Linked DNA regions of Bombyx mori. The protein of the gene in region 1 binds, or shares a complex with, the protein of each later gene. Links are inferred from orthologs where the notes say so. Each region holds a gene or a part of one and is shown on either strand. Other genes may lie near its edges. The genes, in order: mrg, ruvB-like 2 and inhibitor of growth protein 3.

Evidence for each region.
Region 2: mrg (region 1) and ruvB-like 2 share a complex: the UniProt entries of both Homo sapiens proteins name them as parts of the nuA4 histone acetyltransferase complex. The link is inferred for Bombyx mori from reciprocal best matches to the Homo sapiens genes MORF4L1 and RUVBL2.
Region 3: mrg (region 1) and inhibitor of growth protein 3 share a complex: the UniProt entries of both Homo sapiens proteins name them as parts of the nuA4 histone acetyltransferase complex. The link is inferred for Bombyx mori from reciprocal best matches to the Homo sapiens genes MORF4L1 and ING3.

The regions. Positions count from the first base shown.
Region 1 is NC_085127.1:11,194,254-11,198,641, reverse strand, and holds the start of mrg (mortality factor 4-like), read right to left. Parts: upstream 2,838-4,388; 5' UTR 2,811-2,837; coding exon 2,783-2,810; intron 2,667-2,782; coding exon 2,549-2,666; intron 1,924-2,548; coding exon 1,811-1,923; intron 1,259-1,810; coding exon 1,163-1,258; intron 315-1,162; coding exon 224-314; intron 194-223; exon of another isoform or gene 1-193. UniProt on the Homo sapiens protein: Component of the NuA4 histone acetyltransferase (HAT) complex which is involved in transcriptional activation of select genes principally by acetylation of nucleosomal histones H4 and H2A.
Region 2 is NC_085117.1:3,013,505-3,017,159, forward strand, and holds part of ruvB-like 2, read left to right. Parts: intron 1-213; coding exon 214-310; intron 311-1,835; coding exon 1,836-1,967; intron 1,968-3,136; coding exon 3,137-3,249; intron 3,250-3,655. UniProt on the Homo sapiens protein: Possesses single-stranded DNA-stimulated ATPase and ATP-dependent DNA helicase (5' to 3') activity; hexamerization is thought to be critical for ATP hydrolysis and adjacent subunits in the ring-like structure contribute to the ATPase activity.
Region 3 is NC_085109.1:7,261,569-7,265,671, forward strand, and holds the start of inhibitor of growth protein 3, read right to left. Parts: upstream 2,825-4,103; 5' UTR 2,643-2,824; coding exon 2,615-2,642; intron 2,372-2,614; coding exon 2,300-2,371; intron 2,211-2,299; coding exon 2,013-2,210; intron 1,793-2,012; coding exon 1,651-1,792; intron 1,314-1,650; coding exon 1,211-1,313; intron 1,055-1,210; coding exon 965-1,054; intron 563-964; coding exon 460-562; intron 1-459. UniProt on the Homo sapiens protein: Component of the NuA4 histone acetyltransferase (HAT) complex which is involved in transcriptional activation of select genes principally by acetylation of nucleosomal histones H4 and H2A.

The DNA.
Region 1 (4,388 bases):
TCCGGCGAGAAATTCAATGGGTATATTGCTACCATTTCCATTATTAGACGACTATTTTTGAACCCCAAAATTGTATGGAATGTTAAAGCGGTACACATATATAATTATCAACTTTTATATATAAGCATGAACTTAAGTAGGTGAACCTGTGTAGGAACATGAGTAGGTTCCAAAAGATTGCAATATGCGTGTGAGTGTGTGTTAAACATACGGACAGACATACTTAGGTTGATCAGATCCAGAATCAGCAGGTGTATCTTTACTCTGAGTTTTAGTTGTTTTTGCGGGAGCTGGTGTACTATCGGACTCTTTTACTGAAAAGAAAACATTAACATGAGTTTTAATGAGAGATAAAATTTAAATTGGATCTCACACTGAATGCCAACTATATTTACAATGGGAACTCATTTTCCTAAATACCTACTTGTTTTGTCATTATAATTTTTTTTTTTTTTTATTTGCGTTAATAAACCAACTACCTGTTGGAATACATCTTTTTAGTGGGTCGAGAACTGAATTGCATTCTTATGACAGCTGTCCTATCCTTTAAATCAGCAACAAGCTGCTTCGTAACTGTATTAGTGAGGATATCTGTTCTTCTTTTAATAAAAGGATTTCTAAGTGCGGGTTGTATAAAGACACACACACAGTGAACTGCTTTGTTACCCAACACATGTTCTTAAGTTCATAATTAAATAATAAAATATAATAATAATAACAATAAAGTGAAACAGTGTGAACATCGCTTTGTTTGTCAAAACATATGGTTCGAAATAAGCAGGCCATTCCAGAGAAAATTTTAATGTGAGTAAAAGGAATCCTTCAAAATCCATCCCAGCTTCTCCTCGTTGTGATTAGATCCAATTTTATTTTAAACAAAAACTAAGGCGAGACAAAACTGACACACTTTAATAATTTGCTAAACAGAAGTAACATACTTTAGAATTGCTAATTTTTTTAAGTTACCTTTTGCTGACTTTCATCCACAAATAAAAAAAAAAAAAACACTAATTGGAAAGCATTAGGTTCCTGGTGTCCATAGCTTTGATACATCAATAAAAACACCATAATACTATAGCTATCGACTTCTTATTCATCTTGAATTTTTAGGCTTCCAAATCTAATAACCTTAGCAAGCTTCTGTTAATGATAACAAAAATACCTTGAGTACTACTCGCAGGGGTAGATGCTCTTGATTCTTCTCTAGCTGGAGTAGTTGCAGCAACTGCTGCATCAGATTTCCTACCCTTTGCGGGAGCTGCAATTGTATTTAATATTGCAGATTTTTAGACTGTTGTACAGAATGATCATATTGGTTTATTTAATTTTCAAGAATCTATTGCAAAATCAAGAAGTAATACCCATTAAAACTATAAATCACCTGTTGTCATATTTTTACATTTGTAACTATCACAAAAACTATAAAAGTATAGACAGTACATAAAATGCCAGGATGAACTAATAAAAATAAGAACAGACTTTTTCTTATCATGTCTACTTTACTGTCAAACTCGCAAAACTAAGAAAATGTTAATTTAAATAAATCAAAGTAACAACAATATCTTATACTAGTTCATACAGATTCTAAATCTGATTTGTTTTCCTATATATAAAAATTTAAAGTATTTTTCAAATTCATAAAATATGTACAAATCAACTGATTTTTAATCCTTATACTTGCACCACCCTCTAGAATTGCAAGAGACAATCCAGTGTTTAATGGTATTATTTCTTTTAATTATAAAACCAAATATTTCCATGGTTCCAAATATTTTTAAATGTAACTTAGAAAACGGTGTAAATTACTAACTTTTCTTAGTTTTAGTTGGTTGTGCGGAATGAGCTCTTTGGACTTCTTTCTGCCTTTGTACATTTGCTTCATTGTACTTCAGAACACGGCTTTCAGGCACCCATTCATCCCAACTGAAATAACATTAAGACATTTATAATATACAATTTGTATTTCTCTTTTCAGTAGTTTTTCATATCATACAGCTAAATAAATTTGGTTTAAATTTAATGTTTATTAATCTACTAATAATTTTAGTGGTATGGATTCAGTCCACTGTAATTTTATTATAAGTATTAAGACTATTAAGTTAGATTTCTATAAAATACTTTTAATTTTATTGTTAAAATATTTTGATGCAATCCTTTAATTTGTTTTTAAGTCGGTGAGTTTTTAATCTTGTGTAGTTTTGAACTTCATGTGTTCTTGTGTTATTATTGATCAATGTTATAATATATTATTGTTTAACAGTTTAACATTAACCAATAAAATTTTTGGTGTGGTGCTATATGATTATAATTTTGAACAGCAAAATAAAATACTGTGAATATCACTAAATTTCTTAACTTAAGCTTTATTGTATGAATTATAATGTATAGCTTGCAGGTTTTTATAAAATAATAGTACATACTTTAATGGTAGATACTAATTACTATTGAATCCTTTCAAGTCTTCGTGATTCAATCGGTCACCGTTCAACAAATTTCGTTTACATTACTTGTCTTAATTTTCGTCAAATCTGACATCCAAATGACTTACTTTTTGTTCCATCCCGCGTAATGAATAAGATACCTCACGTGTTTGTCCTTTGTAACTGAGCTTTTTAAACATTTTGCTTCATAAATTAGCGGTCCGTGGAAACATAGCACTTTTTCACCTGAAATTAAGGAATTTGCATTGAAATAAATTACGGTAAATAAACCGATAAATATTTTCAAATAAATTAATTGATTCTAAACATTTATACTGAATAGTGTACTAAAAATAATTTACCTTCAGCAAATTTTAACTTTGGTGCCATTGCTACATAATGTGATTATTTGTTTACAGTTTACAAATGGCTGACTGACTTGTGACTTGAGTCGTTTAATTTTTACAAAAGAGGAAAGGCGAAGGTAAAAGACCATACTGCCAAATGTTTCCTGTGTTACACATAAAATGAAAATAAAGTTAATTTACAATAATAATTAACTATAGAATTATATTTTAACCTGCTTTATACATATTAAGCTATATAAATTTAGGGCGAAAATGGGCATCCTTGTTAACTAGTCAGTTTTGCCTTAGGTAGCTGTGTAGCCATGGAGGATAGAACTAAGGAATATCATTTTGTATAGAGGACAAGTTGAAAAAGTCTCCACCTCTAAACGGTAAGATATTGTTCGAAGACTCACCGAAATATCGCTAGTATAGAAAGTGCAAATGATATGAACACAGCAGTTTTAAACAAACTGAAATGTACTAGATGGCAGTGAAGGCTATGTTCCGATCATTAATTGAAATTCTGGAACTATTCAATTTGTCTATGTGTGTTCTCTGTATTTGTATTACGCAGCATTATATTAAAGTTTTATCTAGTCTTTGCTACACATATGGAGGGTAGAACTAAGAAGTACCATCTCAGTATAATAAAAAGTGTCTGCTGAAAGGAATATAATTAAGCTGGCGCCATAGAAGCAAGTGGAAAGATTTAAAAAACAGCGCCATAAACTACCACCCTTCGGTTATGTTCTAGCTTGCACTGCGAGTACTGTAAAGTCGGATGTCAATATAGCGAAGCTGTTCCTTCATAGTTAGATATATTGGTTACTATTTAAAACGGAACGCAGCATAGTATACTGTCATCACATTTTTTTTGCGTTGTTTTCACTTCAACAAAAATTAGCGGTTTCATATACAAACTGTATAACATGGGACTACAGACTCGTGCTCATCATACGAGACTTGTTGAATTGTTCGTTTCGATATTGAGTAGAGGGAGCTCACTCTCGCCCCCGTCATCTGACGGCCAGAGTCCCACAAGGCTCCGCGCTCTCCCCGTTATTATGTAGTTTGTATATCAATGATATACCCCGGTCTGCGGAGACCCATCTAGCGCTTTTCGCAAATGACACGGCTATCTACTACTCGTGTAGGAAGAAGTGGCTATTGCATCGGCAATTCCAGATCACAGTAGCCACTGTTGAATAGTAGTTCTGGAAGTAGCGCATTGACATCAACCCCACGAACAACACAGCGGTGCTCTTCAAAAGGAGTCGCCCTCCGAATACCACTTCGAGCAGCCCATTCCCTAATAAGCGCGTTAACACCTCCGCGTTCGCCCGATCACTCTCTTTGGCCAGCCCATACAATGGGCCTCGAAGGTCAAACGTTTAAGCGTCACTCTCGGCAAAGGGACGACATTCCAACCCCTCAATAAAAACGGTACCGGTAAAATGGGGCGATTAGGGATTGACAGGCGAATCGGGAAAAAACTGGGAAAATCTTTCGACACTCAATATAAGTTTTATATTCGTTGCAAAATCTTCCATTTTTTGTAGTTTAATAGTAGAATGTTGAAAGTTCACAAAACAACTCTGAATATGCATGATAATAGCTG
Region 2 (3,655 bases), on another chromosome or scaffold:
AGTGGATTAAAAACTGCTTGACTGATTTAGCTGTATTCGTTATAGTATATAATATAATATATAACCTAGTTAACCTAGTTCAAGTAACCTCACCACCTTGTTGATGTCCATGAGATCCAGTAACTATTTAATACCAAATAAGCCACATACTTGCTGACTAGACTCTAGCTTGCTAGGTCCGAACTAGTTGCTGAACGATTTTCTTGTTGACAGGTTCAAGCCGGAGATGTGATCACCATAGACAAGGCTACAGGCAAAATAAACAAGCTCGGCAGGAGTTTTGCCAGAGCCAGAGACTATGATGCTACCGGTGAGCAGCTATATTGAATTGCCAATGTATCGAAGACAATGTGAAAGGAATGATTTGGAAGGAGCCTATCTTTAAACAAACACTAGATATACGGTAGGCAGCGACTTGGCTCTGCTCCTGACATTGCTGAGGTCCATGGGTGACGGTAACTGCTTCCCATCAAGTAGGCCGTATGCTCGTCTGCCTATAGTAAAATGCCTGCACAAAAAAAAAATAAAAAAAAAATCTGACAAATCAATTGTATGTAACGGATTCTTTCAAATTGCTTAAGATGTTTGATCGACTTGAAAATTTTCACTTGTGTCAAGGACCGATGATTATACAATAATTTGCATTAAGTTCTTATTACGCTGATAATAATAATGCCATCTGTCGCCGAATAGCAAAAACGAATATTAAAAGAACTAATAAAATCGGGAATGCTCGAGAAGTGTAACTTGCATCTATTATCAAATAGCGGAAACACCTATCGAAACGACTGGTCCTACCAGGAATGTTCTCGGTAATTGTAGAGATGTTGTCCTGGCTATAAAAGCTATAAAAGAGATGACACGAAGGCAGTTAGTAATCGACTCGAATCTACTCGAAGCGAAGCGGAAGAAGTGAAGTGCGAATTATAAAGTGTTCCTTAAGTATTCTAAGTGCTTAATAGAGTTTTAATTTAGTACTTCGCTGGAAGTTTTGAAGTGTCACTTCTTTAGAATCGTTGTGATTTCAAACTCGATGAAACGAAATGAAACGAAACGAAAAAATAAGTCCATAGAGACACAAACACATATATGTATAGGATTCAGCCGGCGAGAGAATCAGATAGAACACGTTTTAAGTGAAGTTAAAATATCAATTCATAGAGGGCGCTACCTCATACTATACAAGATGATTTAAAATTATTTATATTTGGCTTGTTATCAACAGATATCGCTGCACGTAAATTCAACAATTCCTGAGTCGCGGTGACGAGATGTTACACAGTTGATAGACGTTCTCGTATTTCTCTTGCTAAATCATACTTACCTGGCGCCGGTCACCGTTTTCGTCGAACCCGTCGCTTGCGACGATAGGCTCGACGAGTAAATTAACCCTCAGACACAGCCCACTGAGTTTCTCGCCGGATCTTCTCAGCGGGTCGCATTGCCGATCCGGTAATAGATTCTGCGAAGCACTACTCTTGCTAGGACCAGTGTTAGCAACGTCGTCAGGTTTGAGCCCGTGAGCTCATCTACTAGTTAAGGTTCCGCTGAAATAGCCTCTCAAGGCTATCAGCTTAGGTAGGAAAAAAAAAACAAAATACCTGACGTAGGGATACCGTAATCATGCAGGCGGTTCCCCCAGAGTGAGACTGCTCCATTGCACTGCTGGGTGACCTTTGCGATTATTTTTATATTTTTATATGTTTCACTTCTACCACGTGTGACTTGCACACACACACACACACACACACACTTTTTTTTTTTTTTTTTATCCCGACCCTCAGTGAGTAACAAATAAATAGTATATGACATTATTATTTGTATACATCAATCAGGTCAGCAGGCCAGGTTCGTGCAGTGCCCCGAGGGCGAGCTGCAGAAGCGCAAGGAGGTGGTGCACACGGTGACGCTGCACGAGGTGGACGTCATCAACTCCAGGACCCACGGCTTCCTGGCACTGTTCTCCGGTGAGTCTGTGCGCATTGAACCGGCAGGACTGCCTTCGTAAGTCGAAGGGTGGAGCAGTTGTCCGGATACCTCTTAATGCTATCTAATAAACTATCTAGAGCAGGCCTGGGCAAATGGCGGAGGTAGAATTTTGTTTGGCCCGTGAAGCATTGTATATAATATATTATTATTAAAAACACATTGCATAAAATTTTTTAGATAAAATATTAAGCAATACCAATACATACTATCAGGGCCGGTGGGAAAATTTTCTCCCGGACAACCGCTCTATTCAGCGCCTCCTATTCGAAAATATAATTATGATAATTGAACAATTATTACACTATGTATAATAGTCGCACAATATAAAATTAGAAAAAAAACTGACTAATCAAAATATTTGCCCACCCCTGATCTAGAGCAAAAGGTAATGGGACATACATCTCTCAAATCAGCCTTTCTCAAAGTGGGCGATAACGCCCCCTTTTGGGTGCTGCAGGCCTAAAGGGGGGCTGTAAGAGACCCAGATAAAAAAATGGGGGGCGTTGTGTAGAGGCTTGGGAGGCGATTAGTAATTTCAACTAGGATACCCTTAGTCACCGACTGACCTCTCGCTATAGGGGTTTTTAAGTAGTTGAGAAAATGGGGGCGTTAAAAATAATTTATTCTCAAAGTGGGCCGTAGACAAAATATGCTTGGGAACCCCTGTCTTAATGATCAATGCCTGAATCTCGCTAACGACATTTTCGAGATATATGTGCGTATATACAAGTTCCAGAGGTCACCAATGTGGTGGAAAGCCCAAATTAAAACTGCAGTGGGAGGTTCCCTAAATGAGTGCAGTAGAATGACCTCGAGCAGGGAGAGATGGCGGAACATCGTAAGACGCATCAATCCTGCTCGGTGGAAGATGTTCCCTTTGTCCTTACCCTTAAAGACATAAAGGATCCAGTCTTAGACCGTAGCATCAGTCAACTGAGTCTCTCGCTGGGTCCTGCCGATCTGATCCAATAGATGTACTCGAAGGATAAATCCTTGAACTGTCAGATCTCCAGATCAGCACTCCTTCAGTACCTGGCTGGAGCTCTAGAGTCTGTTATTCCACCTGGTCAAGTGATAAGGTCTCTAAACTAGCCGGACCCCAAACCTCCAAGGTTTTGATGTCCACGGACCGACTTTGTGTTCTCAGGCGACACGGGCGAGATTAAATCTGAGATTCGGGAGCAGATTAACAGTAAGGTGGCTGAGTGGAGAGAGGAGGGGAAGGCAGAAATGATTCCGGGGGTGCTATTCATCGATGAGGTAATCTTTTTTCTGTCTAACATAGAACGGGTGGTGATTTTTATAGGGGGATGGAGTTCTTTTCTATTGCATAGATGGGTGGACGAGGTCACAAACCACCTGGTGTTAAGTGGTTACAGGAGTTCATAGACATCTGAAACTTAAATGCCATCACCCACCTTGAGATATAAGTTGTAAGGTCTCATTTTTAACAGTACAACAGCTGCCCTTCAAACCGAAACGCATTACTGCTTCACGGCTGAAACAGGCAGAGAAGTGGTACCTACCCGCGCGGACTCGACTTCCTACCACCAGTAAAAAAATTATGAAGCTCATAGATGGATACTCTTGCTCGAGCCAGACTCGGGCAAGGTAGGGGAGATTCCGATGGTAACTTAACCCAGCATGGTTCTATTGCTGACCAATG
Region 3 (4,103 bases), on another chromosome or scaffold:
CCCCTGTTAGCAGAGCCGAGATATGTAGGTTCGATTCCCAAGTCGAATTTGTGGAAAATATTGGTACGACAAACTAGTTTGCCTGTCTTTAATAGCCAGACATGTTTAAACATATTAAGTATGCATGTGCATCAGTCTTTGTTTCCCATAATTCAGAAAGTCCTAGTTTGGGACTAGATGACACTTTGTCATTATTTACCAATTATCTGTTATTTATTTTTATTTTGAAGTGAATTTGATAGAGAGATTTACTGCTCCCCAAACGTAATTCATATTGAAAATTTATCAATTCGCGCTTGCCTAGATTTTCTGGTCTATTATAATTGGTATAGTGGACAGATAACCAATTGTAGACAAACTTTTCACCCAGGGAAATTCTGAAAAAAGCTTATAACTAGCTTTTCTAGCGTTTGAGCAACTGAGAATGATCAATTAATTTATTTTAAATATTTTTTTTACCATGATCGTGATGATGAGTTTGTAAAGCATGATGAGCCAGCTCTCCACCTGCAACTGCTTCATAGGATGCTTTCAATGATGCTGTACGACGACCATGCTGCATCTGTACATTAAGAGAATTAATGTTAACATAATTCGGAAATAAAGTGATGGTTTTATCAAAAAAATATTATATTAAATGATACATTATATCTATTTGTTAAATGCAGAAAGATTCTGAAGCTGAAATGAGCATAAACTACTGCCTTCACATGAAAACTCTATTAATTCGTATAAATACTTTTCATTTTAATTATTATTCAGAGTATTTGTCAGTCTATAAGTAATTAGCTGGAATAGTAGTTAATTTATTTTATTGACCAAAAAGTGTAGATTTAAGACTGTGTATAATGTGTTATCCCGTTTTGAGGTCAGGAAAAAGTGATATCAGTTAGGCTGAACCTGTTATTTTTATACAACCAAAAACATGTTTTTTATTAATCATGTATATTAATGTTTAATTTACTTGTTGTGTAGCAGCAATAGCTTGGCTTGCTGCTGCAGCTATGGTACTGCCAGCATGTCCCAAAGAGTAAGATTCACGACCAAGTGCAGCCTGAAAGTATTTGAACAGAAATTATAAGTTTTACACTGTACTTTGAAATAAACAACTTATTTGCAAGTTAAGTTGTAAATTCTGAAAATTGTTTCTTAGTAATTGTTTTTTTTATTACGACTTTTTTTTGAGTTTGCCTAAAATCTCCTAACAAACCTGTATGGCGGAGTCAGTGCGCGACATATTGCTTGAGGAATGTCCACGTTGGGAATCACGATTTCCCCAACTATCTCGTCGCTTTTCTGGCCTTATGCGATACCTGAACAATTTCCAAGAATTATCTTATTTTATTAATGTTTCATTTTTTTTTCCAAGACAGATCAAAGGTGGGCATGCAGCAGCATATAGAGCCTACCTGATGGTATATAGTCACTGTAACTCAGACATCAGCAATGCCAGGCATAGTCAAGCTACTGATTACTTACTGTTCCAGTAGGAAACAAGATGCGATTCAAACTACAATGAATTGTAGTTTAATACTAACTCTTGAGAGCAAATTATTGTTTAAAGATAGTATCTATCCAACTATTTAGTCAAAACATGATTGAGGATATTTTTCATTACACAATTTTAATTTGACATTTGTGTTGAGTTACCTATTTTCCTTGTAATGACTGCTGTTTGATGTGCTAGTGTGATTAGTATTAACATCCAATTCAAGTGACCTCTTCTCAAGCAATTCTGTTATCCCTTTGTTGTCTGCTTCAAGCTCACACTTGAATTTATGCAGCTCTGTATCTGTTTTTAAGCATGTTTAACTTATTATTTGAATATTTCGAATATATAAATTGTTTAATTATACATCATACCATGTTTTCATAGTGGTACACAATTATGTATGCAAACCGGAGTGTTAATTAATTTTAATTATGGAATCACTCATTTAACTGAATTTACTTAAAAGTTGCAATATATTTCATACATTATTTTGTGTACAGGATTTTTTAGTGATACGTACCTAATCGTCGAAGATACCTATCAACCAAATCATACATTTGGTTGGCAAGTGTGGTCTTTTCGTCAGCCTCTTCTAAAGTTTTGGCATAGCCCCGCTTAATATCCGAAAACTCAGTATTGGCTTGATCGGTATTTATTTCACCACGACGACATCCACCAAAAAGAGTACGGACTCTTTTCTCAAGGGTGTCCATGTTATCTATTAATGACCAAAATATAGTAAAAGTCTGGTATAATAGTGTAATTGTATTGTATGTATGAATGTAATTTTATGGCAAGATAGCTTACTTTGGACAGACAAATCCATTTCTCTCATTTCAGTAAATCTGTCTCGCAGTTCTTGCGGTAGATGTTCTATCACTGCAATTAAATCTCAAATTTTATTCGGTTTATGCTTTCACATAAACTTTAAAATTAAATCAAGCTGTTATTATTATTTGTATTACTTAATTTACTAATTCAATATTCTGCGTCAACGATGTTGTTTAACAATTCAAATAGTGGTATTTTTAAATTTTGCGCTTTATTTATTAAGGACGCTACAGTGCTACCAACTGTCTTAATGGATTTTTAGTTACGTCACTGGTCTAACAAATAACTTACTTTCCAAATAATCTTCAAGATACAGCATTTTGGTGAGTGTTTTGTGCTTCAAGTTTGTTAAATTACTGTTGAAATGCTAACTTTGAACCTAAAACTCAAATAAATTAGTCAATAGATACTACGTTGATGTATACTTAAACGTCACACTTCATAAAGCTGGAAAGCTTGATTGATTTTACAAAATGGTGGGTAAGTAGTGCTGTGACAAAAAGAGTGTTAACATCGGTCACAAAATCGATTAAAATACCAGCTAACTAAGAAATATTACTTTTGATTTATTTCTTAGATTGAACTTAAACTTTAAAATTATGTGGTAAATAGCTGTTTGTATATATTGTAAGTATATAGTCCAAGTGGTCCAAGGTAAGTTAATTACTAACCTTTGATTCTAATTAATACCATAGGCATAGTACTAATAATACTATACAAAGTATAAGTACTAGTTCGTGTATTTGTATCGTGTATTTTGAAAAAACATTTCCATAGATCGCATATGTAGACAAATTAGAAATTTCAATTTGACACAATTTCATTCAAAAGACACACTTCGTGTATTTGACGATTTCGACAATCGACTTAAAATAGTCGCGATTAAAATATGCGAATTCACAACATCAATAGGTAGGTACCTAATATGTGCGCTCATTGGTGTGTAACCAAGTACCGTACATAACTGGCTACAAGGAGAGAAGCGCGGGAAACTTGATTGTAGACGTACGCGTTTTTCGACTTATAAATTATTTTATTTTATTTTTTGGATTGGATCAGTAGTTTAGTGTAGTTTATATAGTAATATTTGTTTTGTTTAAGTTTTATTTATTTAAAAGTGAATTAGGACTGTTATTGGTAAGTGTTTTTTTTTCCTAACTTTTGCTCCTTATGGAGCCGCCTGATGACCCTGGGGGCGGAGAAGTCCCTGGGGTCGGTTACAATGTAACAATATCAAATGAATCTGGAATGGAAACCGATGGATCCGTTAAATCTAACAGTGGTGCTCGAAAACGTAGAGCCACTGTCAATAAGCATTGCTCTAAATGCCATAAAAAAAGACGAAATCGGAAACAAAATCAGGGCAAAGAAATAAAACCAAACGAATGTGATTGCATACCTTTGTTTAATAGTAACACTAACACCCAAAGTATTACTCCTCCCCAATTCACTGACTCGCAACTGAATTCCAATCAGTCCAATCAGTACAAAAAACCAGAATCGGTAGCCAGATTAACTTATCAGGTAAGTGATGCAGCACCATATGTTGTTCATGTGCAAAAAATACAGCAAGCTCCTAACGATGATGTAACAGTTCACCCTATCGCTTTTGGTCGTTTTTTAAAAAGGAATTCTATCCACAACATCGTTAACGGAAGCTTAAAAAGAATTGGCCGTAATAGACTGTCTCTGTCTTTCAATAATTACCAGGACGCAAATTCTTTCTTAAACAGCCCTGCTTTGCAATCCGCCGAGTATAAGGTTTTTATCCCAACGTTTA